Canis lupus familiaris: one gene and its partners. The protein of the gene in region 1 purifies or fractionates together with the protein of each later gene. This does not show direct contact. Links are inferred from orthologs where the notes say so. Each region holds a gene or a part of one and is shown in the gene's direction. Other genes may lie near its edges. The genes, in order: VAPA, WDR44, OSBPL9, RMDN3, OSBPL10, ZFPL1 and LSG1.

Evidence for each region.
Region 2: the proteins of VAPA (region 1) and WDR44 purify together in Homo sapiens (affinity purification with mass spectrometry; 3 studies listed by BioGRID and IntAct, counting the BioPlex papers as one, with this or other methods). This does not show direct contact. The link is inferred for Canis lupus familiaris from reciprocal best matches to the Homo sapiens genes VAPA and WDR44.
Region 3: the proteins of VAPA (region 1) and OSBPL9 purify together in Homo sapiens (co-immunoprecipitation; 5 studies listed by BioGRID and IntAct, counting the BioPlex papers as one, with this or other methods). This does not show direct contact. The link is inferred for Canis lupus familiaris from reciprocal best matches to the Homo sapiens genes VAPA and OSBPL9.
Region 4: the proteins of VAPA (region 1) and RMDN3 purify together in Homo sapiens (co-immunoprecipitation; 4 studies listed by BioGRID and IntAct, counting the BioPlex papers as one, with this or other methods). This does not show direct contact. The link is inferred for Canis lupus familiaris from reciprocal best matches to the Homo sapiens genes VAPA and RMDN3.
Region 5: the proteins of VAPA (region 1) and OSBPL10 purify together in Homo sapiens (co-immunoprecipitation; 4 studies listed by BioGRID and IntAct, counting the BioPlex papers as one, with this or other methods). This does not show direct contact. The link is inferred for Canis lupus familiaris from reciprocal best matches to the Homo sapiens genes VAPA and OSBPL10.
Region 6: the proteins of VAPA (region 1) and ZFPL1 purify together in Homo sapiens (co-immunoprecipitation; 3 studies listed by BioGRID and IntAct, counting the BioPlex papers as one, with this or other methods). This does not show direct contact. The link is inferred for Canis lupus familiaris from reciprocal best matches to the Homo sapiens genes VAPA and ZFPL1.
Region 7: the proteins of VAPA (region 1) and LSG1 purify together in Homo sapiens (co-immunoprecipitation; 4 studies listed by BioGRID and IntAct, counting the BioPlex papers as one, with this or other methods). This does not show direct contact. The link is inferred for Canis lupus familiaris from reciprocal best matches to the Homo sapiens genes VAPA and LSG1.

Annotation. Positions count from the first base shown.
Region 1 is NC_049228.1:75,972,240-75,975,443, forward strand, and holds part of VAPA (vesicle-associated membrane protein-associated protein A), read left to right. Parts: intron 1-2,621; coding exon 2,622-2,780; 3' UTR 2,781-3,204. UniProt on the Homo sapiens protein: Endoplasmic reticulum (ER)-anchored protein that mediates the formation of contact sites between the ER and endosomes via interaction with FFAT motif-containing proteins such as STARD3 or WDR44.
Region 2 is NC_049260.1:91,249,891-91,254,399, forward strand, and holds the start of WDR44 (WD repeat-containing protein 44), read left to right. Parts: upstream 1-1,414; 5' UTR 1,415-1,830; coding exon 1,831-1,907; intron 1,908-4,509. UniProt on the Homo sapiens protein: Downstream effector for Rab11 which regulates Rab11 intracellular membrane trafficking functions such as endocytic recycling, intracellular ciliogenesis and protein export.
Region 3 is NC_049236.1:9,562,170-9,566,088, reverse strand, and holds part of OSBPL9 (oxysterol-binding protein-related protein 9), read left to right. Parts: intron 1-3,399; coding exon 3,400-3,512; intron 3,513-3,640; coding exon 3,641-3,759; intron 3,760-3,919. UniProt on the Homo sapiens protein: Interacts with OSBPL11 to function as lipid transfer proteins.
Region 4 is NC_049251.1:8,171,673-8,175,591, reverse strand, and holds part of RMDN3 (regulator of microtubule dynamics protein 3), read left to right. Parts: intron 1-2,826; coding exon 2,827-3,112; intron 3,113-3,918; coding exon 3,919-3,919.
Region 5 is NC_049244.1:13,245,967-13,249,885, forward strand, and holds part of OSBPL10 (oxysterol-binding protein-related protein 10), read left to right. Parts: intron 1-3,485; coding exon 3,486-3,919. UniProt on the Homo sapiens protein: Probable lipid transporter involved in lipid countertransport between the endoplasmic reticulum and the plasma membrane.
Region 6 is NC_049239.1:52,617,694-52,622,175, reverse strand, and holds the start of ZFPL1 (zinc finger protein-like 1), read left to right. Parts: upstream 1-1,461; 5' UTR 1,462-1,622; exon of another isoform or gene 1,623-1,638; intron 1,639-1,986; 5' UTR 1,987-1,994; coding exon 1,995-2,096; intron 2,097-2,377; coding exon 2,378-2,489; intron 2,490-3,589; coding exon 3,590-3,783; intron 3,784-3,891; coding exon 3,892-3,964; intron 3,965-4,035; coding exon 4,036-4,182; intron 4,183-4,431; coding exon 4,432-4,482. Other genes in the region: CDCA5 (sororin), read right to left, coding at 662-697, 777-842, 920-1,014, 1,226-1,271. UniProt on the Homo sapiens protein: Required for cis-Golgi integrity and efficient ER to Golgi transport. Involved in the maintenance of the integrity of the cis-Golgi, possibly via its interaction with GOLGA2/GM130.
Region 7 is NC_049254.1:31,816,929-31,820,847, forward strand, and holds part of LSG1 (large subunit GTPase 1 homolog), read left to right. Parts: intron 1-1,908; coding exon 1,909-2,319; intron 2,320-3,919. UniProt on the Homo sapiens protein: Functions as a GTPase. May act by mediating the release of NMD3 from the 60S ribosomal subunit after export into the cytoplasm during the 60S ribosomal subunit maturation.

The DNA of each region.
Region 1 (3,204 bases):
CTTGGTTCTTGTCATCTTTTCAGTATAACTTTTTCTAGGAATCTCTCCTCCCAGAAGCAAAGAAGTATGGTTTTGGAATGCTATCTCCTTTGTTTCCATGAAACCTTCGTCATCTCACTGTACCTGTTTGTTAAAGGTTTTTCTCCCTCCAGTGGGCGCTAGCTCTTTGGGAGCAAGGACCTGTGTTCATTCATCTTTGCATTCATAGCACATGCATATAGTAGTCATTCATATATTCGAATGAATAAATGGATGAACGGGTGAATGAGAACTAATTTGAATATATGCAGAGTGTATTAATAATTTGCCTTTGACAAGTACCTTATTTCAAGATGTGAATACCTTTAAATTGCCATTTTAGGTTTTGGAACTTTTTGTATCAAAGTAGATGATATAAAAATGTACATAAGTAAATAAGCTAAATTAAGTGACTTAATTTACATTTGATTCTTTCATCTGTTAATGTATATAGGAACTGTATATACTGTGAATCAGAGGCACAGTATCTTGGATTGATCTGTGCTGAAATAATTGTCTCTTTCTGTTTCACAGTACTCCTCAGGGGCCCCCAGCGCCTCTTAGGATAGTGGAAAAACTAGTTTCATTTCACACCTATCCACACATCATAGATTTTTAAGGATGTTGTTGTTACTCTTACTTTATCTGTCATGACTTCCATGGCATAGTTCTATTCTTTGATGAAAGGTGTGCTCCTTAGCATGCTCCGTACTTTTTTTGTTCAAAAAGCCAGTTTGTCTCTTGGCAAAGAGGAGAGTAGAAGTGGAAATGGTAGGAATGACATAAGTAGGGCAGGGGTGGGAAGAGTGCACAGGGAGGAAGGTGAGATTTGGATGCTGGTCTCTCCCCTTCATTGGCTGTTTGTAGGAGATGTTATTTGCAAAAGTGTTCTGCTGTTTAAAAGATAAAAGAACCTTGAAGATCACTGGCTTATAGAATCCGTTTCAGGCCCTTTAATAACATTTCATACATAAGGCCCATCATAATATGTTCTTTTTATTCCTCTAGTCCTGTGGTTCTTAAGCCAGGCTGTGCATCTCAGTCTCCTAGTGAGCTTTTAAAAAATACCAGGTCCTCCCCAGACCTAGTAAATCAGAATCACTAGGAGGGTTTTTTAAAGTTCTTTTTTTTTTTTTTTTAAATTTTTTATTTTATTTATTCATGAGAGACACAGACAGAGAGAGAGAGAGGCAGAGACACAGGCAGAGGGAGAAGCAGGCTCCATGCAGGGAGCCTGATGTGGGACTCGATCCTGGGACTCCAGGATCACGCCCTGGGTCAAAGGCAGGCGTTAAACCGCTGAGCCACCCAGGGATCCCGGTTTTTTAAAGTTCTTGAAGGGATTGAGAATCTGTGTTCTCTTCATGTAGGACTAATGAACAAAGACTAAAAAACCCTACAAACCCTCAGAGAATGTAGTAATTGCAAATAAAACAGTATGACCTGAGGTGGACTTTTTCATTTGGTGTTACGGAGCATGTTAGAGGAATCAAAGTGAGAAAATAAAAATGAGCTTGCACTAAGTAAGGAAGTAGCAGTCTGCCCTGTCATTCATCTGGTTGGGATGATGGACACAGATAAAGCCAGTTGCCTAGGTAACAGGTATCCGTATTTTTCCCAGGGTCACACAGTGGCTGGTAAAGTGTCTTAACAACTTCCTATTTTGAGTGATTACTGCTTTCTTACTGAGAAACCTTGTTCCCTAAAATCATACTGTCCAAAACTTTGCTGTGTGGAATCATACCAGTAAGAACCAAGCAGCCCTTCTTATCTAGAGGATCTGAGTCACTTTGACACACAGAAGCCCAGCCATCCTTTCCAGTCTAGGGGCATGCCTCCAGTAGGGGGGGGTAGGGGGGTAGGTGAGTTCTGTATATAACATTCCATAGCTGCTGTAGTTTGTCGTTTCCGAGGAAGCAGGATTTTGGTGTTTCCTTTGCGATCAAGACTCAGTGCTGACCCTTCTACACATATACCTTCTGCTTTGAGCTTAACGAAACACTTGCTATTTAAATTTTATCCTGAAATTCCCCCTTCCTGCAAATCCTATAAAATGCCTGTCTTTTCCTTTGGCCAGCTACTCCCAGTGCCTCTGCTGTGTGGGTGCCCTGGCTGCAGTGTGTCAAACCTGTTAGACCACAGCTTTGTTCGTGGTGGTCTTTGGTAACCAGTATAAAAATACTGCGGGCCACCATGGAAAAAGTGCATGCACTTTTATTAACATATTTTAGTGGAGTTTTTTTTCCTGTTGTATAAATATAGTTATACCTGCTTTTCAATTTTTTAGGAGTAAATTTTCAGCTCTAGTTTTTAAAATCGACATTATTGAGGAATCATTTATATTCCATTAAGATGCCCACTGTGAGTGTACGATTCAGTTATTTTTAGCAAATTTACAGAGTTATGCCACCATTACAAGACTCCAGTGTTAGGATGTTTCCATCACCCTAGAAGGTTGTCTTAATGCTGGTTAGCAGTTAATCCTTGATCCCATCTCAGCCACATGCACACTAATCTGCTTTCTGGCTATAGATCTGTAGCTTGGCAGTTTTACTGTATGCGTATTTGTTTTTAAAACCTCTTTGTGCATATATTTTTTTCAGGATGAAGGCTTAAGGCTCAGAAAGGTAGCACATTCGGATAAACCTGGATCAACCTCAGCTGCATCCTTCAGAGATAATGTCGCCAGTCCTCTTCCTTCCCTTCTTGTCGTAATTGCAGCCATTTTCATCGGGTTCTTTCTAGGGAAGTTCATCTTGTAGAGTAAAGCATGCAGAGTGCTATTTTTTTTTTCTCTTGACCAGAAAAAGATTTGTTTACCTACCATTTCATTGGTAGTATGGCCCACGGTGACTTTTTTTTTTTTTTTTTTTTTGTGTACAGCGTCATATAGGCTTTGCCTTTAATGATCTCTTACGGTTAGAAAACACAATAAAACAAACTGTTCGGCTCCTGGACAAATTGTATATTACCAGATCATCACTAGCAGATGTCAGTTGCACATTCAGTCCTTTATGAAATTCATAAATAAAGAATTGTTCTTTCTTTGTGGTTTTAATAAGAGTTCAAGAATTGTTCAGAGTCTTGTAAATGTTATTTTAATAATCCCTTTAAATTTTATCTGTTGCTGTTACCTCTTGAAATATGATTTATTTAGATTGCTAATAATCCCACTCATTCAGGAAA
Region 2 (4,509 bases), on another chromosome or scaffold:
AATTACTGGACTGTAACAAAAATCACATCCTCACAAGGACTCAGAAATCCCTTGCGTGCAATTCTGAAATCCAAAAAGTCCTGGAAACTGAAAATGTTTTGTATTTTTAGGAACTTATTTGACAGTCAAATTGATCTAACCTAAACTTATTTGGCAGTACTATCTAACCTGAACTGATGAGGCTATTTACTGGTATTCATTTACCCCGTATGAATAATCATACGGTTTGCTACAAAAAATATTACCATATTTGAACATGCAGTGTTTCCCCTGAATTCCCTGGGATGTTACAGAAGTTACAGTATATGGCATTTGGTTTTACTCAAGCACGCCAGACAACGCTAGATCTTTTCCCAGTTGCTTTACAAGGAGAAATTTAGAACCCCATTTTAGCCTCCAAGGCAAAGAGCCCAGAGCCAATTCAGTCTTTCCTGCTGCCATCTTGAGAAGTAGTTGAGGCTGAGCAAACAGTTCCGAGAGCCCGCCAGTCATGACGTCAACGGGAAACTAAAGCGTTTCAGCGACCACCTAGAAAGTCAATGTTATCACTTTTGTGGTCAATGATCCGTCAAGAAAGAACATCTTGGTCTTTCAAAAAGTACTTATCTATTTTTATCACTGGACATTGGACAATCTAGGGTCAGAATTAAGTTACTAGCTCTTAGCTCTGCCACAGTAGTATCTGTTCAATAAATATTTACCACTGACTGATCCACATCTTGGCCAGTCTGTAAGAATTTCTCTCACATTAAGTGTGGGCAGCAACAAATATTTGTTTAGAGAAAGAGTAACTGGAAGCCTTATGCTGGCTCCGCTCCAGCAATGAATCCATCATTACTTCATGGAACTGGCACACTCCCCACGATCTCATGGACCCCACCCTCTGGCCGGCAGGATCGTCTCTAGGGACCTCAATCAGAGATCCTGTAGTAAACAGCTCGAGTTATTCCCGTAACGCTAGCGGTGGTGGACCTGCCTATGCCCTAGGGTGGGATACTCTGGGCTTGGATAAATGAAGACGACGTAAATGCAAACCACAACGCCAAGGTTTCCCGACATCATTTCCTCACAAGGAAAAAAAGCAGACTCAAAACCACCCCTCTGAAGATGCGGGTCTTCCGAACTCCAGGGTTACAGGGTAAGACAATCCGCCACACCCCACCTACGTTGGGCGCACTCCCTAGGAGCCGAGGCACCACCCCGCTCCTGCGCAGGTTGTAGGCTCCTCCCTCCAGGAGGCTCTTCCCCACCCTCCTCGGCTACTTCCGTCCGTCACCGAACGCCCTCAACGCGCTTGCGCCGTTTTGATAGGCCTCTCGGGTAGCAGAAATCTGAGCGCCGCCGCTCTGGAACCGCCCCCGCCTCCTCTTCGCCCCGCCCACGCTCTAACCGGCCCCTCCCGAAATCTCGCGAGGTTAGGTGCGCGTCCGTATTTTGCGGGCATCTGGCTCTCCCAGCTGCTGTAATTGCTGCTGCGGGAGAAATTGGAGCCGCTGTCGTCGGCGCGCCCGCCCTCCCCCACAGAGAGCCACCGCCTCTTCGCTCACTCTCCCTGTACACCTATCGCCGGGAGCGGCGGCTGCAACAGTCCCTGGACCCACCGCCACCTCCTCAGGCTGCCGCTTGACTGGTCGTTCCCGCAGCGCGGCAGCTGACGGCGGCCCCCTGCTCCTCACCGGCTCCTCACTCTAGATCGTCTCCTCCGTCCCTATCCTCGCCCGGGACCCACCTCCTCACGGTCTCGCCGGGGAGGAGGACGACAAGGAGGAGACGAAAGTCACCCTCCCTCCAGGCGGCGCCGGCCCCCTCACCCGCGGGTGTGTCCTATAAATGGCGTCGGAAAGCGACACCGAGGAATTCTTTGATGCCCCTGAAGATGTGCACCTAGGGGGCGGCTACCCTGTAGGGTAAGTAACTGGAGCTATGGCCCAGAAGCCGGGCGCTCCGGTCCCCCGGTTTCCCCTGTGCCTTCCCCCCGGCACCCCTCCCAGGTCTCGCTGTGTCCGCCACCGCTGCTTCTCTGTTCTCACTCCCGCACTACAGAGGGATTCGGGGGAGGGGGAATGGCCCACCTTGGCAAAACCTCCTCCTTTCCCTGGGGAGCGGTCCCTGGGGCTAAGGAGCCCCTTTCTTGTCTTGCCCTGCTTTCTTCGAGGTGGGACACTTTACGTGTCCGAGAGCCGGCGATTTGTATTTGTGAGGTTCAGCGTTTTACCTTCGAAACATCCGTTTTGGCCTTGGGGACCACAGAGCAGTAACAGAAGAAATTGCACTTCCCGCTGGTTCTCTTCTTTTGCCGCTAACTTACCTATTCGTTTCGAAGGTAGCTTTAATTATCCACCGCCCTCTTCGTTGTATAGAAAGAAAAGGAGCGGCAGAGGGAAAGGTTGGATATTTACTTAGGAAAGTCCTCTAGCTGATGTACCTACATCAACAGTGTTTTACTAAAATAGCACCTCACCGTGAGGCAAAGGAAATCGAAGACACGGTCCTTACCATTAGGGAGAATGCCGTCTTAAAAGGATAGCCGGCCACAATTACAGTTGTACATAACCAACTACAGAAATACAAACAAGTGCTGAGTAATCTGTTCGTTGGAAGAGCCACAGCTTTGTCTTGTTTATCTAATTCTGCAAAATGTTTTAATGATGATTAGTTTGAGAGATTCTGAGTAAGAAAGTGCAGTAGTTGGAATGCTTTGCTTGTCTGGGACTGCTTGACTGGGACTTCTACTTACCGACTCCTCCACTTTTAAAAGTTGAAACAGGATTTAAAGCTATTTTGCCGAACTCCTCTACGGACTTGGGTGGAAATTGAGGCAGTGAAATATATTTTCATGCTGTAAGAACTCGAGAATTAGTGAAATTTGTATATTAATGTAAGTAGACACTTATACGGTTACAGGAATTTAGCTGCCTTCAATTCCCAAATTTTCCCCATGGAAGAAACACTGCTTGATGCAAATAAAGTTATTTGTACTTTCTAGAAGTCATTCTAAAGCTTAATATATTTTATATATAACATATAGCAAAAAAGTCACAGCAGCAAAATCAGAAAGAAATGTACGTTGTAGATGGCAGATGTGTTTCCACCAGCCTTCCTATCACTATTACGAGATTTTTGGGTGGCAAGGCCCAATCTTGAGTTGGCACTGAGTCTCCTTCAAGTTCAGTATCTGAAACAAGTTCATAGCTAGATGGTACAGGATTGAAAATACTTTTGGCGCCAAAATGTTTGGATTCCCTTGAAATTAAATTTTGTTTTTGTTGCTTTTCCCTTTGAACTGTCGATTTAGGTTGAATGATATACCTAATCGATTAATGCTTTTGAGTATGTGTGGAGTGGGGAAGGAAATAACTATGTATATGATTGTAATCATTTTAGAAATATGTGAATATTGTTCCTTCTCAGTGAACGAAACATTTAATTTTGAAGAACAGTTATATCAGGAGTTTATTTTGTCTAGTACTTGGCACAGAAAGAACCCAAATGTCCATTCCCTTGTCCTTTCTTGGAATTAACAAATTTAACTTCACACAGTGGTTACTTTGAGAGGAAGTATGCAGAACTTGGAGCTATTTAACTTATTTAAATCCAGTGAGTCATTTTGATAGAATTGATAGAATCACTTCTTGCCTCTTGGGATAATAGAGCTTCTCAAGTACTTTGATCCTTTGATAGTAGGTGAAAAGTAAAAACGTCTCTTGGGACCTAACCTTCTAATTTTAACTCTAACTTCTCCAAATATTAATGGTGTTGAACTCTATGGGTAAAGCTATAGTGTCAGTCTGTGAATTTCATGGCTCCCATCTGTATTAGTAGGGGGGATTTGGAAGAGAATTAGGTTCGTCCGGACAGTTGCATCTGAAAAGAACTAGTAGTACTGGGAGGACTGAAAATGGTTGTGGCATCATTGATATTTCCTCTGTTGTGACAGGTTTTGTCTTTCGTGTAAGATACCTTGAAGAGAAATGCAATGAGAAATCTTGATTTGTGGAAATAGATGGTATCACTAGATATCTGGTCACCAGAAATATCTTCTGTCCCTTGATTGAACTGCAGTGGCACACCATACAGACTCTTAAGAATTTAACAAGCTGAGTTTGCAAACTTTAAGAAATTTTCCTTGCTGACGGGTGTACCACAGTACATAGATCATTTCATCAAATTGTAGTGAACCGGACAGCCCCGGTGGCTCAGCGGTTTAGCGCCACCTTCATTCCGGGGTGTGATCCTGGAGACCCGGGATCGAGTCCCATGTCGGGCTCCCTGCATGGAGCCTCCTTCTCCCTCTGCCTGTGTCTCTGCTCCTCTCTCTCTCTGTGTGTCCCATGAATAAATAAAATAAAATCTTTAAAAAAGAAAAACAAATTGTAGTAAACTGATTCACAAGTGAAAGTTATCTCATGTTTTGTTAATCAGAATCCAAATACACAGTCCATTTCCTGAAATTGATTTATTTCTTCTGTTCCCTTCAGTGGTGTCTTCAGTTTTGTTCTACTCTTTATA
Region 3 (3,919 bases), on another chromosome or scaffold:
ATAACTGTATACAGGAGAGCTTGTAGTATCTGGTTAGCTGCTGCTTCTTTTTTTTTTTTTTCTTCTTTCTTTCTTTCTTTTCTTTCTTTTTCTTTTCTTTCTTTCTTTCTTTTCATTCTTTTCTTTTTCTTTCTTTCTTTTCTTTCTTTCTTTCTTTCTTTCTTTCTTTCTTTCTTTCTTTCTTTCTTTCTTTCTTTCTTCTTTCTTTCTTCTTTCTTTCTTTCTTTCTTTCCCTATTTATTTATTCATGAGAGACACACAGAGAGAGAGGCAGAGAGAGAAGCAGGCTCCATGCAGGAAGCCCAATGTGGGACTCGATCCCAGAACTCCAGGACCATGCCCTGGGCCGAAGGCAGGCGCTAAACCCCTGAGCCACCCAGGGATCCCTAGTTAGCTTCTTTTTAACATCAGAGTCTGGCCCCAGTTTCAAGGGGTTCTCCTGAAATTTTTATAAAATAGAAAATTTTATTATTGTACCTGTAACGGGCATGTCTACAAAGTCACCTATAGGCTCATAGGCTTTTTTCTTTTCTCCTTCTATTATAAGCTTCCTTCTCTGGGCTTTCCTGGTACCCATCCCATGACAAATACACAGTTGATGAACCTCCCATTTGAAAGGATCCAGGGTTAAATTCTATGTCCTGCTAACCCATTGGATTCCTTTTTTCCCCTCAGTTTTATGTTCTCCTTGTATGCCCTAATCTGGATTCCCAAACTGGTAGGGACTGCAGATGGTTTATTTGGCCATCAAGGTGTTTGTTGATTTGGGGGCAGGGTGTTGTTTTTTTAAATGGGCTTAAGTCCATTCAAATGGAGTGTGTTGGCCCTGGGGCTGTATTCCTTACTACCTAGCCCAGTTCACGTATTTATGTTCTCTGCCTGACCTTGCTGGGCATTGAGCCTGTGACACCTGCTGGTCATCGGCTGCTACTACTTATTTTCGGACTCACAGCTCAAGTTTCTGTCTACTGTTTTTCTGTCTCTGTAGAAAGAGAACTGGAAAACTTAAGTCTTTCACTATGCACTTTCCGAAGACCTGTAGCAATGGCAGCTTCAGTGTGAACTGTTAGTGAGCAGTGTGGCTGTACACGGTTATAAACTAGATGAAAGTCCGTGTTGGAAAGAACTTGTGCTTTGGAGCCAGACATGGATTTGAAATTGCTCCAGTACTTACCAGCCGTGTGAACTGAGGCCAGTCACTGAGTCTCTGAGCTGAGCATCCATGTGTGAAGAGAATAATACTGTGTAGGGTTTTTAGGGAGCTTAGATTGTTATGGAGATGAAAACACAGTGTTTGGCTCTTACCAAGGGGCTCAGTAAGACTTTGGATTCTGTTACTGTAATTCAGCTCAGCACTTCACATTTTTTGGTTTAGTTTATTTATGATATGATTACATACTATACAGGTTAGCCTGTTGCAGATAAAGCTTTCCTGTAAGCGTATTATTCTTATCAATGTTGCTCTTATTTTTTAATTAAATTCTTTAAATTTTTTGGTCCCGATTGCAATAAATTATGGAGAAATGAGGATCCCATTTTTTTTTTCATTTTGAGAGATTTTGAGCATTTCATTTGGCCCAGACATGGTTTCTTACCTGAGTAAAAAAGAAAAGCACAGCATAGATCTAACCTTTAGAATTGTATATAAAATAAGATACATATTTGAAAGGATTTGGGGTTTTTGATCTATTGATTTAAAATATTGATTCTAGGGGATCCCTGGGTGGCTCAGCGGTTTAGCATCTGCCTACAGCCAGGGGCATGATCCTGGAGACCTGGGATCAGGTTCCACATCGGGCTCCCTGCGTGGAGCCTGCTTCTCCCTCTGCCTGTGTCTCTGCCTCTTTCTGTCTCAAATAAATAAATAAATAAATAAATAAATAAATAAATAAATAAATAAATAAATAAATAAATAAATAAATAAATAAATCTATCTTAAAAAAATAAAATATTGATTCTATTTTGATGATGTATCAAAGAGCCACAAAACATTTTGAAAATAACTTTCATGCAGCTCTTTTATTTAATGATTTATTTAATTTGATTTCTCTTACCTAGGTCTTTTACTCATATTTTCCATTGGCTCTCAAAGCTGTGAGGTAGACATTAGTTTCAGTACCTTGTGATGTATACTACTAAATTATCAAAGAAGCAGTAGTTACCTAAGGATTTTTGAAAAATAGATCAAAGAAAGTAAGTAACTAGGACAAACTACGTTTAAATTAGAATACACATTGTTCTAATACTGTAATATTAGAATGTTCTAACGTAGGCAGAGCACAGAGGATTGTTTGGGTAGTGCAGCTATACAATACTATAATGATGTATACTTCTCTACATTTATCAAAATTCATAGACTGTTGTACCACCAAGAGTGAACCCTAATGTGAACTGTGGACATCAAGTCAGAGAATGATGTACCAGTGTAGGTTCATTAGTTATTACAAGTGAGCACACTCTGGGGTGGGATGTTGATAATATGGGAGGGAAGTTGGGCATGTTTGCGGAAAGGAGCACATAGGAATTCTGTAGTTTCTACTCAGTTTTGCTGTGAAAAACTGCTCTAAAAATGAAGTTTATTAAATAAATCAAAAGAAGGTAAGTAATTAGGGCAAACTGTGTTTAAATTAGAATATATAATATGCTTTGCATCCATAAATCTGTAACAAAAAACTGGTCATGTGTATACTATTTTATATATAATATCTGCAGTATGAAAAATTTGGTTTCTTTTTATATTTAATAAGTAAATTATATGACTTTGATTATTTTATTAATATACAACTAATTCTGGATAAGTTACAGTTATAAGTATAATAATAGAGGAAACTTTGTTTAGACCCTATTAATATTTTAACCAGCTCATAATTTCAGTTACCATAAATTTGCTTGTAAAAAATACCGTGCTTTTGTATTTTGTTATTTCAAATACAGTTTTTAAGTGACTGGAAATACTGTTAAATACCAGTGTGGGCTTTTATCAAAGGATCTCAAAAATACAGAGAAAACATCTTCTGAGACTAAGTATGACAGACTTGGCAATTTTTGAGGTTCTAGAAATTGTTGCAGAGAATTATATTTTTCTGTAAAGTAACGTGACAAGAAAATGAACTCTAGCTTTAAACTTAGATGCAGAAGCAAAAATCTTACTAATATTTGATGACCTTTTAGCATGATTTGGTTGAGCACACACTATGCAAAAAAAGTCTCGTAAAGCACGAGACAGGAAACCTAGTTCTCACACTTTACAGTTTCCAATCTCAGAAGAAGGGTTCGGAACTGTGTATGTGTGACCAGCTCACTGTCATTGATCGGCCTGTATTGGTTTCAGATAGCCTTGTAGGTTAATGCCTTACTCTGACTCTCAGTTGCTTAAGAAGGTGATTACTGGTTTTTCAGTTCATCCGGATCTGCCTCAGTCTTGACACACAGCAGCTCAGGAAATAGTCTGAAGCGCCCAGATACCACAGAGTCGCTTAATTCCTCCATGTCCAATGGAACAAGTGAAGCTGGTAAGTGACATTGGAGAATTTGACTCTTTTTCCTAAAAATATTTGTTTGAAAAAAAGATTTGTGACACTGGTAGCATCACAGGTTGGTCTGACTTAACACCAGTCTAAGCAGATCTGTTTTATTTTAGACCTTTTTGACTCACATGATGATAGAGATGATGAAGGGGAGGCAGGATCAGTAGAAGAGCACAAAAGTGTTATCATGCATCTCTTGTCACAGGTTAGGCTTGGAATGGATCTGACTAAGGTAAGAAACAAATTTGGCATTTGCTGTTAAGTCTTACTGTGTATGTGCGGGTTCTCGGTGATTGTGTAGTGAATGTGGCTTGAAAATGTAGCGTAATGACATAACTTCCGTTTATACATTTGTGGTTTAATATATATGTAGATGAGTAAACTGAGAATTT
Region 4 (3,919 bases), on another chromosome or scaffold:
TCCATGAGCTTGTTCTTTTTTTTTTTTTTTTTAAAGGTTTTATTTATTTACTCATGAGAGACACACAGAGAGAGGCAGAGACATAGGTAGAGGGAGAAGCAGGCTCCATGTAGGGAGCCCGACGTGGGACTCGATCCTGGGTCTCCAGGACCCGGGCCAAAGGCAGATGCTCAACCGCTGAGCCACCGAGGTGCCTCCATGAGCTTGTTCTTAAACACAGGACCAAACATAGCTTTAGTTCTCTCCTAGTCCAAAACCACCTTATCCTAAAACACCAGCTTCTCCAGCAAGCCTTCTCAGCCAAGGATTGCCCGAAACCTCATTGCCACTCCTTCTTGGCCATTTATCACCTCATTTACATTGCTCTTATCTACCCCACCACTGGGAGTCTCTCAGCCCTGGTTGCCTTTGAATGCTTTAGCTCAGCCCCTCTAAAGGGGCTTAGGAAGAGTCAAAAGAAAGAAAGTTAATTATCAGAAGGGAATATGTGTATAACTGAGTCCTTGATCACTGACTTGTGGGCCCTCCTCAAGGGGTAGAGTAGGGTAGCTCTGGCCTCCGCGGGAGCCATGGGTTCTCTTCCGTTTGTGGGAACAATGTGTTCCAGCCAAGGGCACAGCTCCAAAGAGCCATCTCAAAGGTCCCTCCCAGGCCCTGGCAGATCTCAAAAGCCCCAGGGCATGTTAAAAGGACACCCCTGTCCCTGGTGGATTTCTCCCGGGGCTGGATTGGTGTTCTGAGATGTGTGAGAGCATGGTGTTACTATAGAGACAGCCTTCATACCTGCGGAAGCCCCGGAAGCTCATGGGGGCTGATGTCTGTGCTCATTGAGCAGGTGCTTGCCCACCCGCTGCGTGCCAGCCAGCAGGGTGGCAGATTAGCGAGGCAGCTCCCTGATGTGGGGCTGAGGTGTGATAAGAGCCTCCCTGCCTCACAGGCCCCACCAGCAAAGTCCCTCCTGACCACTCCTCCTGCTCAGCCATGCGAGCTCCCTGGCAGTGCTGGACATCCCTCCTGGCTCAGCTCACTAGAGAGACTGTGCTGATACTTATGCTCTAGGAGGGAGAAGAGCAGGGGTCCCTCGCTGGGAGACTCCTGATTTGAATGCCTTATTGGAGGGAGTTCAGCAGGCAATAGTGTCTCCCCTTCTTTCTAGTAATAGGAGATGTGAGACTCTAGCTCTTTATCCAGATAGCCCATTTACCCATCTTGCCTTTGGGCCTGCTGGGCTGAGTAGGAGGCTCTGGTAGACTCTGATTTGATTCTCTCATTTGGGCAGGTTATTGTCCAAGCCTTCAGAATTGGTTGGGAGTCTGTCTAGGCTGCCTCTGTGTGGTCTTGTTCGTCACCACCCAAGTTCATTGTAAATCTGATGCCACTTCTCTTTGTCCCTTTAATTTCAAAAGTTTTTACTGCAGATTGCTAGAGGGGAAAGAAGTTGGATAATATATTTAAAAGTAAGGTGAAGTTAAGGTCAAGTTCCTGTAGTAGCTGTTCCTGGGGCCCTTTTTTAGATGAGTGTGGAAGCTCCTCTGTGAAGCAGCAGCAGGGACTGGGCACTCGGTCTGGTTGCTCACTTGGTACCTTCCAGACGAAGCCTGCCTCCTTGTGTCTGGCTTTCTGGCCTACCACTTGCAGCCAGACTTGATGCTGTTTTGTCCTGCCTTTACTTGTAGGTGCCTCGCTCATTTCTCCTTCAGGCCTGTTTTATGCCAGGCATAGGTATCCTGTCCCTATTTTTCATTCTAGGATGGAGGAAGGCATATCCCTAAATGATCCTAAGGTCTTGCCTGTGCTTCAGAACCTTCTGGCTCTGACTGAATCTGCTTTTCTTTTACTCAAGTCTGGAGGTTTCTCTGGTATCTGCTTCCAGGCCCTAGAAGTCCGACATTGTCCTCTGCTCAGTTTTTGTCTGAGTCAGTTGGCAGTTGGGGAGAGCACCCTAATCAGCCACTGGTGAAAGCCAAGATCCAAGAGAAACGTGGCCTCCTCTTCAGGGAGTGCTGGGGGTTCCAAGAATAGACCTATCCTTGGATAGGTCCGGCTTGTGGCGGCCCCAGAGATACCTTCCCAGGTGGTTCTGTTTGCATCTTCCTCTCCTGAGTGTAGCTGCAAAGTGGCCTTTCCCCTCCCCCAGCAAGTTCCTAAGGTTTCCAGGTGCTTTTCTACTGTGGTTCAGGTTTGGTTGCTGACAGGACAGAGGTGTACCTTGAATTGGGAAAGAAAATGTAGATATTTGGGTTGCCCATGGCCTCAGAGGCTGGCACCCACCCATGTTGTTTCTGGTGGGTGCTTTTGGCTGATAAAGCAAATGTGACTGACAAACCCTTAGCCAGGCTCACATCTACCTCAGATCAGCTCCACCTACATTATGGTTTTTATCTTAAGTATTCCTTTTTTACTTATAAAAATGTATGTTCACTAAAGCAATCATATATGTTAAAAAGTAGAAAAATTTCCTTTAGTTCTTTTATCCTGAGTTCTACTAGCAACATTTTGATGCATTCCTTTCTAGGCTGCTGCTTTCTAGCCTTTTTCTTTTTCTGATTATCTAACCAACTTGGTGGTAGCTCAACAGGGGGTTCTCATATTGCCCCCAGCTGGTCACTCTTTCCATCTAGGATCATTTTCCCAGCCCATAGTTCCCATAGGAAGCTTTCTCTCAAGCACTAATTTCTGCCCCTAAGTGGTAGAAATGGTTTTTACATGGCGCTCTGGACAGCAAGCAGCATCATAAGAGCCCTTCTTTGTGGGTGGGAGATAGAGCCTAGAGTCCTGAGGCTAATACTCTCCCTTGACTCTGTCACTTACATTTCTCTGCCACAGTTACACAACAGCCAATGCTGAGTCTGACTATGAGCGGGACTCTGACAGGGAAAGTGATGACGGGGAAGATGAAGTGAGCTGTGAGACTGTGAAGATGGGGAGGAAGGATTCTCTGGACCTGGAAGTGGAGATGGCTTCGGGCCCGGTGGCCAGAGCCCCGGAGACTGGAGGCTTCCCTGGCCTGGACGATGTGCTGCCCCTCCTGCAGCAGGCTGACGAGCTTCACCAGGGCGGCGAGCAGGGCAAGCGGGAGGGCTTCCAGCTGCTGCTCAACAACAAGCTGGTGGTAAGGCTCCAGCTGCCTGTCTGCCCTTATAGCCTCCCAGCCCCCCTGCGAATGGAGGAAGGCCACTGTAGTTTCTAAGCCTGCAAGGTGACATAGGAAGGGAAATGAAGGTGAGGTGACTGGTTCTGCATGTATCCCTCAGGGTTGCACATCCTATTCCAAGTAGGCCATGCACTGCCTCTTGGGGCCTAGGTGTACCGCCTGCCCCAGAGCTTCCTCCCTATGGTCGTCTGCCTCCTATAGAGCTATTGCAAAAGAGCTCTCCTTCTTAGAGAGAAATGTAGAAAGAGCTGGAATATTCTTTTCCTCTTTTATTTCCCTTGAGGTAGAGCCCAAGCTGCCTGCCCTACTTGAAGTTTCCATCACAAGTGACAAATGTATAGGTCACTCAACCACAGTTCCCTCTTCTTCTGGTTAACTGCCAGAATTTGTGCTCACCAGCTATAAATGCCCCAGTTAGAATTTTTCCTTTTCTTGGGCATTTTCACATTTTTCACTATCAGCTAGACTTCTCATTGTGCCTCATTTCATCTTGGAGTTGACCTTTCCTCCTCACAGTATCAGGCCAGAATGCCCTCACTCTGAAGGTTATGCAATCTACTGGCTAGAGATGACGCAGCATCAGTTAGCTAACTGCAGGTGCGAGGTCGTGTGGGGGTGGAGTGCTATGCATAAGGCTGGCCTGATGTCAGTTTGTAACACTAGCTTGGAAACTCAAAGGTAGGGCATGGGGAGAAGGCCAGAGCCCCAATTCTCTGCAGCTAAGGAAGAGGGGCCTCATCCATCCCTCTCTGTTTGGTCTGCAGT
Region 5 (3,919 bases), on another chromosome or scaffold:
TCCCAGTAGTAATATTTGTGATAATTTTTGGACAGGTGGATTGCTTGGTCATTCCAGGAAGAGTAGAATGGACTCGTGTGCCACCCTTACCTGTGTGCCACTTCTTACCCCCTACTTTTTTTTTTTTTTTAAGATTTATTTACTTGAGAGAGAGAAAACACGTGCACATGCAAGCAATGGGAGAGGCAGAGGGAGAGTCTCAATTAGGCTCCCTGGTGAGCATGAAGCTCCATGGGGGGGGCTCGATCCCAGGACCCTGAGATCATGACCTGATCCAAAATCAAGAGTTGGCCCCTTAAGTGACTGAGCCACCCACGGGCCCCTGCCCCCCACTAAGCAATGGCAGTAGGTGAGGTGGCCCAGCTGTCCCAGGGCTTCTGTCCAGTGAACTCTCACCTGCCTTGTCCACTGAGGGAAAGAAAATGCTCCCGTTAGCCAGAAGCAGGATAATTGTGTTGTGTGGGGGGTAATGGGAAGAATTTGGGGTGGCAGTTGGGAGCCTCAAGTTTCCTGTGTGGTGCCTTCGCTCCCCATCTGCCGTCTCTGTCCCCCGACCTGGAGACCCGGGCGTTGGACTCCATCACCCGGAGGGGCCCTCTCCGTCCTGACAGTCAGTCATTTGGAGTGTCAGTGGCGTTGTGTCCCCTGGTTATCTTGTTTTAACTCTTCAGCTTCGGAGTTCAGAAATGCTAAGTTGGGGGGAACCGCCTTCTGTTCTTGCCCTTTTCAAAAGTATATATGGAGAGGGTGACCCTGGTGGCCGGGTCTTTCCTTGTGATGCCAGGCTCGGGTACACGCTGGAGGATGCCCCTGTCCGGAGCACCGGACTTGCTGCCAGAGAGGCCCCAGCCCCCAGGGGCAGAGGGCGCAGCTGAGGCCGCCTAGCGACCCTCTCGGCAGGGGCGTTTGGGGCTGGCCTCCCGCCCTAATTCCGCCCTTTCCCTCTCGGGTTCTCTCATGATCACCGGGCCCTGCCGGGGGGAGGGAAGGAACAAGAAATGGGGAGGTTTCGGGAAGGCCTGGAGATGCAGACATTTGTGGCTTCTTTTCTCTTTCAGTTGTTTGGCCTCATTGGGGGGTGTCCCACGGCTGATTAAGCCCCTAGTCCCCGCACAGCCTGTCGGGCAGAGCTCCCAGGGTGACCCTGGGCAGCCGGGGGGCAGGAGAGGGAGCCATGGTGAGAGTGTGGGGCTGCGCTTGCCTCCCCTTTACTCTGCCAGTGGCCGCCTGCTGTGGAGGGAGCCCCTGGCCCGAGAGCCCCCTTGGAAAAGCAGACGCCCTACAGCACAGCAATGGCCATTGAATGGTGACCTGTCCCCACAAAAGATGTAGGAAGTAATCACAGTGGCCTCTGAAGGCCATTCTGAGCCAGAATGTCCATTACCTGGCCAGCTCAGAGCCTTGGGGCAGCCAGAGTCTCAGTTTTGTCAAGTTTTGGCTGAAGGAAAATGAAGAAATATCCATTGATTTGCATAGTTGTGTCTTTTCTTCCAGTATATTGTAAAAGCAAAGCAGAAAGAGACTTATAAAAAAATATAAAAATCACTCAATTCTAACACCAAGAAATACATGTTAACATTTGGGGTCTTTTTGTAATACTAGATTTGTGTCACATGTTTGACTTTACATCTGGCTGCTTTTTCTTTCTTTCTTTCTTTCTTTCTTTCTTTCTTTCTTTCTTTCTTTCTTTCTTTCTTTCTTTCTTTCTTTCTTTCTTTTTTAAAGATTTTATTTATTTATTCATGAGAGAGAGAGAGAGAGGGAGGGAGGCAGAGACACAGGCAGAGGGAGAAGCAGGCCCCACGCAGGGAGCCCAATGTGGGACTTGGTCCTGGGTCTCCAGGATCGCACCCTGGGCCGAAGGCGGTGCTAAACCGCTGAGCCACCCAGGGATCCCCTGGCTGCTTTTTTACTTAATGAATGTACGTACTCTTTCCTCTAATGTAGTATTTAATCTCAAGAAAAGCGTTAATAAAGATAGCAGAGTCCCCTCTCCAGGGGGCTGGACTTTTTCCAGCTTCCTCTGAAATCTCTGTGCTTTGCTGATCTCCTGTCTGCCTGTCTGTCTCTTTCTCTCAGGACATCCCTCTGCCATTGTATCTACACCCTTTGCTAGGAGGGGTCTGAGCAAGCTGAGGTGGAGGCAGGGTTGCAGATCTGTAAGCCTTTTGACATTTGCAGTCAGAGAGTATTTTCTCGGGAGTTGGGGACTGTGTGAAGGAAGGAGACTCAGTCTTTAAGGAGGGAGTGTAAGCCAGCTGCATCGCCTTGAACTTGTGTGGCTCTTCTCTCTCTGCCTCCCTCTCTTCTCTTTCTGTCTCTTTCTCCTGGAGGGTGTTAGGGAGGAGCCAGCAGGCCATGGCTAGACTTCCAGCTTCATGATCCTGTGCTGAGATGCTCCAGGTCAAAGTGAGCTGTGCCTTGCAGCCAAGTGATTGGTATTAATACCCAGTAATGAAGTCATTTTAAGATCACTCTAGAACAGTGAGGAACAGGCTCGCTCTCCTCCGCCTATCAGCGATAGTAATAAGGGACCTGCTTTCCAGCCCAATGTCACAATGGCCTTCATTTGCTTTAACTGACTTCCTCATTGGGGTTGTGGGGCACCCGATGACCACATGCATCCTCTCTGGATCAACAAGGAGTCTCGGTCCCGTCCCTGGCAGAAGCATCCAGATTTCTACTCCTCTTTTTGATAGTGATGTCAGTAACAATCCCATGAGAAGCCCCTGTACCAGTCCATTTGCCAGAAGATTCTGTATTAAGTGTCAGCCTGTTTCTTTGTAACTTCTGCTTATTTCTTCTGGCCCAGCCTTGCAGAGCAATCTCCACACATGGGCCTTCCTCTGCATGGCAGCTCTCTGGGCATTTGCTTGCTAGCTGATTGGTCTTGCCTCCCAGAGACCTGGGCCATGGGTCCTTTCCTCACTCCTGCTCTGCCTTGATCGTGTTGGGATTTGGATGCTACTCTTCTAACAGAGATCTCCAAATAAACCCTCTTAGTGGTGGTGTGTGCTGGTCTACCTGGACCCCCTTTGATGCAGCACCAAAAAGCCCCATGTTTGTGGGGACACACCGAGCACTCCCCTGGGTTGTCTGATGTCAGGAAGAAAAGGAAGAAGTCCTTTTGTGCTCTTTTCTTCACATCTCTAAGTAATAAGGAGTTAGTAAAAGAGGGTTTTGTCTGGGGATGGTGACAGCAGTGGAGGGGGAAGTAGAGACCGCTGTTCTAGTCCAGATGAGCAGAGAAGCAAGCCACGCAGAACCATCTAGTCCACGAAAGTGGGGTGGCATCATGCCACCACAGCAGCCACTTCTCCAACCTTGTCTTCTTTGATGTCATTTCCCCTAATCTGTCGCTTGTATATGAATCAAAAGACAGCGTTCTCTGGCTTAAGCCACGATGGATTTGCTTGGTGGTGGTTGCAGCCTTTTCCACGTAATCTCGGGGTCTCCTGTCTGACTTTGTCTCCTTCCGAATGTAGGTGGTGCTTCCCACATTTATCCTGGAGAAGCGATCCTTGCTGGAGATGTACGCGGACTTTATGGCACACCCAGACCTGCTGCTGGCCATTACCGCGGGAGCCACGCCCGAGGAGAGAGTCATTTGCTTTGTGGAGTATTATCTCACAGCCTTCCATGAGGGCCGCAAGGGGGCCCTGGCCAAGAAGCCCTACAACCCCATCATCGGTGAGACGTTTCACTGCTCCTGGGAGGTCCCCAAAGACAGGGTCAAGCCAAAGAGGACTGCTTCCCATTCTCCTGCTGGCCACGAACACTCGGTAGCCGAGGACCCTTCCACAAGCTACAAACTAAGGTTTGTGGCCGAGCAGGTGTCTCATCACCCACCCATCTCCTGCTTCTACTGTGAGTGCAAGGAGAAGAGACTGTGCGTCAACACTCACGTATGGACCAAAAG
Region 6 (4,482 bases), on another chromosome or scaffold:
GTGAGCAAAACTGGCCATGCACATAGCTGTCCAAAGGCAAACTGTTTCAAAATACAGATGCTTCCCAACTTAATGAGGGTCTGACTTAAGATTTTTCTGTGTTTTTTTTTTTTGATTTTTCTGTGTTATGACGGTGCAAAATTGATATGCACTCCATAGAAATCGCACTTCGAATTTTGATCTTTTCCCAGGCTAGTGAAATGTGTTAAGATCCTCTCTCATGATGCTGGTAGTGGCAGCAAGCTGCAGCTCCCAGTCAGCCATGCCATCACGTGGGGAAACAACTGACAAATTTACAACCATTCTGTCGTTCGTTTTCAGTTCAGTATTTGATAAAATTAAGTGGTATTCAATTTTTTATTATGGATAGGCTTTGAATCAGATAATTTAACTATACGCTCATACAACTGTGCCGAACACGTTTAAGGCATGATAACCTAAAGTACGACGTTTGATAGATTCGGCGCATTAATTGCATTTTTGACATACTACGTGTTCAATTCATGACCGTTTTATCAGAAAGTAACCCTGTCCTAAGTGCAGGAAGATTTGTACCTCAAAACAGCTCCCTGGGCAGATGTGAGCAGCCAGTATATCCTGCCCCATCTCGAGAGTGCCCTGGATTCCACTCCACTGAGCCGACGAAAGAAAATGAACTCACCCTTGGGCTCCTTCGAGGCGTGTGGATAGATGGGATCTGTGGAGACAATAATAACTGATCAAAGACTCAAACGCAATTTTGGCTCCCAACCCACAACCCCTCTCTCAGTCCTCACCTCTACAGAATGGGCTACGATCTTCTTCAACACGATGGGCTTTCTGACTGGAGCCGCATTGGGAGCCTGGAAAAGAACAGTGAATATGAGCTCCACATTAGTCCAGCGGCCCCCGGGACAGAAGCTGAGAAAGCAGGGCTCACCTTGGGCCAGATTTCAGGGAGGGTGCTCGGGAGATCAGGGCCTGATTTCCGCTGGGACCTCCGCAGAGACTGAGTAGGAGATGAAGTCCTGGACCCTGGCAGAGAAAGAAGTTAGGAGGTAAAGGTAAGACTCTAGGCCTCAGAGTCTAGAGAAGAGATTCAGGAGAGAGCGAGAGAAGGTTCCCCAAACAAGCTCCTTAACGGCGGAATGAGCCTCTTAGAGCGCGGGGGGGGGGGGGGGGCCTCCTCGTGGGACTCCATCCCTCAAACGGCTCGGCCCCAGGCTCCCGCGCGCCTTCGGCTCACCGGAGTGCCGTGTGGCCCCTCCGGACCGTGTTCGCCTTTCGGACATGCTAGCCTTGGTCTCGACCTCCGCCGCCGCCTCCGCCGCCGGGGCTCGCGCCAACCCAGAGGGATCACAGAGACCGAAACGTTCGAATTACCCGCCCTGCCTGGAGGAAGCGGAAATGACGCAAGGCGGGAGGGACGCCGTGCTCCGTTTACCATCCGTCTCGCGCGCAGCGTCAGCAGGGGCGGGGTCAGCGGTCCACTTACGTCATCAGTGGGCGCCGCACCCGGAAGAGACGTGGCAGCGGAGGGATAATCGGAGCGGCCCGAGGTAGAGCGCGCAGAGCGGGAGCACGGCTGAGCGCAGTGTCTGTCCTTCCGCGCCTCGGACCAGCGCTCGCGCGCGTCGGGACCGGTGAGGCGGTCGATCGGTAACACGGATGGGGGGGCGAGGGGGGGGGTCTGTGTTGAAGCAGGGGGCGGGGCTTGGAGGGGGTGGGGCTCAGGTGGAGCCCCTGGGGGCGGGGCCGGTGGTACCGGAGACTCGCTGGTGGAGGGACCTGGCCGGGGGCGGGATCCAGGAGAAATGAGGGGTCACTGGAGGCGGAATTCGTTCAGGAGGCGTGGCCCGGAATGTAGAAGGGCGGTGGGCAGGAATTAGGGGTTGGGGCGATCATGAGAGGTGTTTAGGGGATTTAGGAGTGGAGACGATCTGGGCTTGTGAGTTCGTAGTGGCGGACACCGGAAGCTGGCTCTCTCAACTCCGACCCCTTGCTCAGGGTCGAATATGGGACTTTGCAAGTGCCCCAAGAGGAAGGTGACCAATCTCTTTTGCTTCGAACACCGGGTCAACGTCTGCGAGCACTGCCTGGTAGCCAATCACGCCAAGGTGGGGCTTCAGGGGAGGGGCGAAGCAGGGCAGTGGGTGGGCCGGCAGTGTCGGTTTTCTCCAACTCCGAGAAGGCCCTGGGGTTGGAATGGAAGCTCCAGGAGGGCGGGAACTTGGTTTCTTTTGTTCTCGGCTCTATCCCCAGCACTTAAGACAGACTCTGGCACACTGCGTGCTCAATAAATGTTTATTGATTGAACAAACGAAAGTATGATTCTTGTTTGTGATGAGAGAAAAAGAAGCAGCTGGGCCCCCGCTGTGACCTCTGTCTCCCACTCCAGTGCATCGTCCAGTCCTATCTGCAGTGGCTTCAAGATAGCGACTACAACCCGAATTGCCGCCTGTGCAGCACACCCCTGGCCAACCGGGAGACCACCCGCCTCGTCTGTTACGGTGAGGCCTGCCCAGCTTGGTGACCAGTTTCCACGTCCTCTCTAAGCAGCAGGGCAATGGAGACCTCCCCAGGCTTGGGAGGCTGGAACCCCAAATTCTAGTCCTGCTGTGTTATTTACCTGATGTGTGAGCTGAGGCAAGTCATTTTCCCTTTCTAGGCCTCAGTGTTTTTCCCTAAAAATTAAAGCTCCTACTTTCTTACCTGCCCATTTACAGGGTTGAGTGAGAGCCAATCAAACTTGTAACATTTGGGCTGTGAGCAGTAGCTGGCTGGACCAGCAGGGAGCTGAAGGCATGAGGCTTTCAGACATCTGGGATCTATTATTCATTCCAACTAAACAGAGAGGAAGGGAGTTTCCCACAGTAACTAGCTAAAAGAAGTTAGTCATATGTATCATGACCTTGACCTGACTGATGTAAGAGGCTTAGGCTCAGCTTTTTTTTAACTTTATGTGTGTTAATGTGTTCCTTAGTACCTGCACATGAGTGAATGGGTAAACGTGTGAAGTATGAACACAGGTGTGTTGTGGGGTTATAGGACAACGCTTGGGTTATGGTGCTTGAATTTTAGCAAATGTGATTGTATAAAAGCTTCTGTGTGGGAGTTAGTGTGCCTACAAGTGTAGATACAGGGATGGTACTTGTGTTTTATTGTATGTATACATTTGTGCCCATGGGTGTGGGTGTGTACATGCATACGTGTACTTGTGTGTGTCTAGGAACTTATGAAACTGCTCCTGATTAGCTGTTAGCTTGAGGAGCTTGTGATAAGTGCATGTTCAGAGAGGACTCACTTTAAGGGTCACTGGCATTTCTTCCCATCCCTACTACCCCAGGGAGAAGTAGGCTTCTCCCTTCTAGTGGGCTGGGGATCTTGGTAGCATCTCCCTTGACTGAGTCAGGTAGTGGTGGCCAAGAAGGCTGAAATCTTAGGGAACACTGATAAAATGGACCTGAGTGAGGACAGGAAGGAGAAGGCTATGAGCTCACATGTGCGCGTATACATACATCCACATAGCAGACTGGGGGTTGTTGCCGGGCTAGAGATCCTACATATCTTCTTCCTCATGCCTCTCCTCCCCTATTTCATTGGCCCTAAGATCTCTTCCACTGGGCCTGCCTCAATGAACGTGCCGCCCAGCTACCCCGTAACACAGCTCCTGCTGGCTACCAGTGCCCCATCTGCAGTGGCCCCATCTTCCCCCCAACCAACCTGGCTGGCCCTGTTGCTTCCACACTGAGAGAGAAGCTGGCCATGGTCAACTGGGCCCGGGCAGGACTGGGCCTTCCTCTGGTGAGAATCTGTGTGTCTGACCGACCGTCTGCCCTGGGTCCCACTTGGGCCAGATGGGTGGGTAGGGACAGTATTGAGCAGGCTGGTGACACAGGTTCCTTCCTCCAGATCGATGAAGTGGTGAGCCCGGAACCTGAGCCCCTCAACACCTCTGACTTCTCTGACTGGTCTAGCTTTAATGGTAGGTAGTGGTCTGCACTGCCCTTGGGGCCTTGCTTCCCTGCTCTGCTGACAGCTCTCTTCTTGCCACAGCCAATGGTAGCCCTGAACAGGAGGAGGTAGCCAGCGCCTCTGCTGCCCCATCCTTCTACAGCCAAGCCCCCCGGCCCCCTGCTTCCCCGAGCCGGCCCGAGCAGCACACAGTGATCCACATGGGCAATCCTGAGCCCTTGACTCATGGTGAGCCAAGGAGTTTTCCAGTCTGGAAGAGGATGGAAAGGGAGTGGAGTGACTTATGTGGAGGGGGCTTGGGGTTCCAGAGGCCCACCGGGTGGCTTCCCTCTTCACTAACATAGTCATTACCTTCCCCATGATCCTGAGATGTTTTGTCAGGTTAAGAGGGCAAGGACCTCCTGCCCTCCCCACTCCCCACCCTGCTACAGGCCAGTTTCTCTGAGCCTGTGGATACTGGTGGCTCTGCCCCTGCAGCCTCGGCCCCCAGGAAGGTGTATGACACGCGGGACGATGACCGTTCACCAG
Region 7 (3,919 bases), on another chromosome or scaffold:
TGTTCTCAGGGAACCCTTGCTACTACCTTCAGTTGTCTTCTAGGGTTCACCAGCTACCTTGTAGACCTGCTCCCGTGTATGACTGGGTTCGCAGTGTGTAGTTATGGAAAGTACACTTTCTCCCTTTTGAAGTTAGCCATCATTTACTCCTTCCACATCTTCTGAAGTATCTACCATTTTTCATGATTTCCCAAGACCAATAACTAGCTACCATTGTGACATCACTGCTGTAATCACACTTGTCATTTGAGTATCAAACATGAACTTACTAGGAATAGTTTAATAGTCACTGTTTTCTCAACCATCTGAAGTTTGGTTCTTCCTTTACAGTTGTTAACCCCTTCTTTTTTGGGGAAAAATGACAGTTTTCAAGCTGAGTACCTGGTTTTCTCTTGGCCATCTGTTAAATTGCACTGTGTTTCCCCAAGGGATTGACTTTTCCCTTTTCAGGTTTACTATACTACCACAAAGTCCTTCTGTTGTCTTTATCATTTTTCCTGAAGCTAAACTGCTTCAGTTTTAGTTTTTTTAATGCACGTTCAGTTCACATTACTGTTTTCTGTTTGTTTCATATTTTTGAAATGATTCAGAAAAGCTCACAGTGAAGACACGCCATCTTCTTTACATTCATTGCTCATTTCTCATAGAAATTGTTTCCAGTTCTGTGGCTCTGTTATAAGCCATGCTGCCGTGTTGCCTTTTGATTTGCCAGCCTAGCCTTGATCATGAAATCATGCCTATCTTCCCTGACATTTTGTTTATATCTCTAGTTTAGATTTAGTTTACTAAAATTTAGGATACTAAAAAAAAAAAAAAAAAAATTAAAATAAAATAAAATAAAATTTAGGATACTTATTTAACTGAGTTCATTGTGTCCTCTTCTATTATGGTTATTCATTCTAACACTAGGTAATTTAGAAATTATACAAGGTTTGTATCACTTCTAGATGCAAACCAGCTCACTCTTGTTGATTCAAATTAGTAATACTATATATTGTCTTATTTTTGCTTGTATTGTCAGAATTCTTAAGAATTAACATATCCCTGAAGAGTAAATTATTTTTGTTCTTTGTATATATGTGTATGATTTTCACATGTTTCGTTGCTCATGTATTTCATCCAGAAGGTGCTATGCTCCACAGTGCTTTGAGTTATTAAAGGCAATTATAAAGAAATAGCAGTTTCCTTAAATATGCAAACCATGGTCTTTAAAAATGCAAACGTAAAAAACTCAAAGTATAAACGTTTCCCTTCTTGCTTTGTGCAAAGAAGAGAATATTAAATGTTTAATTGTTAATGAGAAATGCTTTGTTCTACAGCCTGGTGCAAAATAATGTACTGCCAAAGAATTCAGCTTGACACAGGCTTTTCTAAACGCTTACCTTTTTTTAAAGATGTATCTAGGGCAGCCCGGGTGGCCCAGCAGTTTAGCGCCTGCCTTCAGCCCAGGGCCTGATCCTGGAGACCCGGGATCGAGTCCCGTGTCAGGCTCCTTGCATGGAGCCTGCTTCTCCCTCTGCCTGTGTCTCTGCCCCTCTCTCTCTCTCTCTCTCTCTCTCTGTCTCTCATGAATAAATAAAATCTTAAAAAACATAAAGATGTTTTATATACATCTGATACAAAAGTAACAGACATTGTACAAAGTTCAAATGATATAGAAATATATAAAGCGAAGGTCCACTGCCCCTCCCATCTCCAGAGGGCACTACTGTTAATAGTTTATTGTGTCCTTTCACCAAAAGGCCTGCCTTGTCTCCCTATTTTCACCTTTTCTGGTTTCCTTTATAACTTACTTGGCTTCCCCTCTGTTCATCTGAGATAACCAACCCTGAGTACTTTCACTAGAGTGAAAGGTGCCATTGTTGTCCCTTCTGAGCTTTTTGGTTTCTTTCATTTCATTGAAAACAGGTGAACAGGAGTGCTGGAGAAGCCAACACAGCCGAGTCTGAGAAGTCCGGTTGTGAAGAGGCTGCAGTTCCATGCAGTGAGCCTAGACATCTCCCAGACAGGGCTTCCCTCTCACTTAGTGATGTTACCACTAGTGATGAAGATGCCAGTGAGTATGAGGACTGTCAGGAGGAGGAGGAGGAGGTTTGGCAGACATGTTCGGAAGAGGACGGCAACCCCAATGAAGAGGCCTATGGCCGGGACTGGCAGGGAAGCTGCACTGCGGATTCTGAGGCTCAGGGGAGGAACACCCTGCGGAAGAGGCACACACACAATTTTAGCCATCTGGTATCAAGGCAGGAATTGTTGGAAATCTTTAAGCAGCTACACACTGGGAAGAAGATGAAAGATGGACAACTTACGGTTGGACTGGTAAGATGAGATAGGTCCTGAGATTGTTATTGCATGGGTACCTTTTTTGTTTGCTCTTTAAGATATATTTTATTTTAGTGAGAGAGGATCCCAAGGAGACTCTGCACTGAGTGCAGAGCCCAGTGCACAGGGCTCAATCATACGACCCTGAAATCTTGAGCTGAAACCAAGAGTTGACTACCCAACTGATTGCATCACCCAGGCGCCCCACCATTTATTTCCAATCTGTTGGTAGCTACACTGGAACCCAAGGGCCGAACCAAGCTTTTGGTGTCCTAGGAGACGTTATTGCCCTCTTGTTGCCCACTGGCACTGTGGGAATAGGTAAAGCCCAACTCTAAAGAACGAGCTCTCTCAAGGCTTACACTGGTTATGCCCCTATTCCTATTAATTATCTTCTCCCGTCTTCCAGTTCAGCCCTACCACACGTGTGGCTTACCAAGAGATAGTAGAATGAGAAAACTTCTAAGGTTGTCTTCAGACTTGCAGTTCAGTAATCTTACCCTCTATCGGCTTTTGGTGTGAAGTGGTCCTTGCTAGCTTGTACTGTAAATGTTCCACCTGCAATTTAAGGAGAATCCCAGCATCTTTCGGGCCAGGCAAAGCATGGCTGCCGCTTTAGTTGCCTAAGAACAAGGGAAAGGAGATCACATCCCTAGCTGTGTATATGCTAATTCTAGAGGTGGCTGTGAGAAGTGCTTGGACTTTAAAGACAGACAGCACAGCTCCAGAGGTCCCATCTTTAGCTAAGGAAACATAAGATGTTAGAGAAGGTATGTTAAAGGCCTCATCCAAGAGATCAAACTTGTGAGAGAAATAGATTGTGGCAGATTTAAAATCTTCTAGCTCTTAAGTTACATGCATACCCCCCTCCCGCCCAAGCCTAGTCACTGATTGTAGCAGGTCAACATCTTTGTTTTAAGATTTATAAATAAATAAATATATATTTATTTATTTGTTTGTTTATTTTTAAAATTTATTTATTTGAGAGAGACAGACATAGAGCACTAGTTAAAGGAATTGCCCCTGGAGCCAGGCAGACCTAGTGCTACTGTGAATGGATTCACTTGCTATAAACCTTGGGGAACTTACATCATTTCTTTCAGCTTCATTTCTTTGTATTATTGCTAAAAATTCATTTTCTACATGCCATCAGAAAGCCCAGCTTCCCTAAAAGGTAGTTTCTTTCTTTCTCACATGTATGGAGATGCTAAACAGACTCTTCATTTTCTGAATGTTTTACACTAGAAAACCTGAGACTAGGTTAATTTACTCCTGCTGTGAACATTTATTGATCACCTGCCACAGGCCAGGCATCCTGCTGGTCCCTAGCCATGTATCAGGAGACCAGACAGACAGAGTCCCCACCCTCCCAGAGCATGTAGTTCCAAGTATGGTGAGTGAGAGAGGAGGACAGCCAGCGGCCTTTGGAGTGTATAGTGAGGGAGCCTGAACTGCAGAAAGTGGAGCAGATGACAGCCACAAAAGCACCCCACCAGCAAAAGGCATCTATACAAATAGTAATATGTCATCTAATCAAAATACAAATAAGCACAAAGCATGAGGAAAATACTGAGATTAATGAACAGTTATCTGAAAT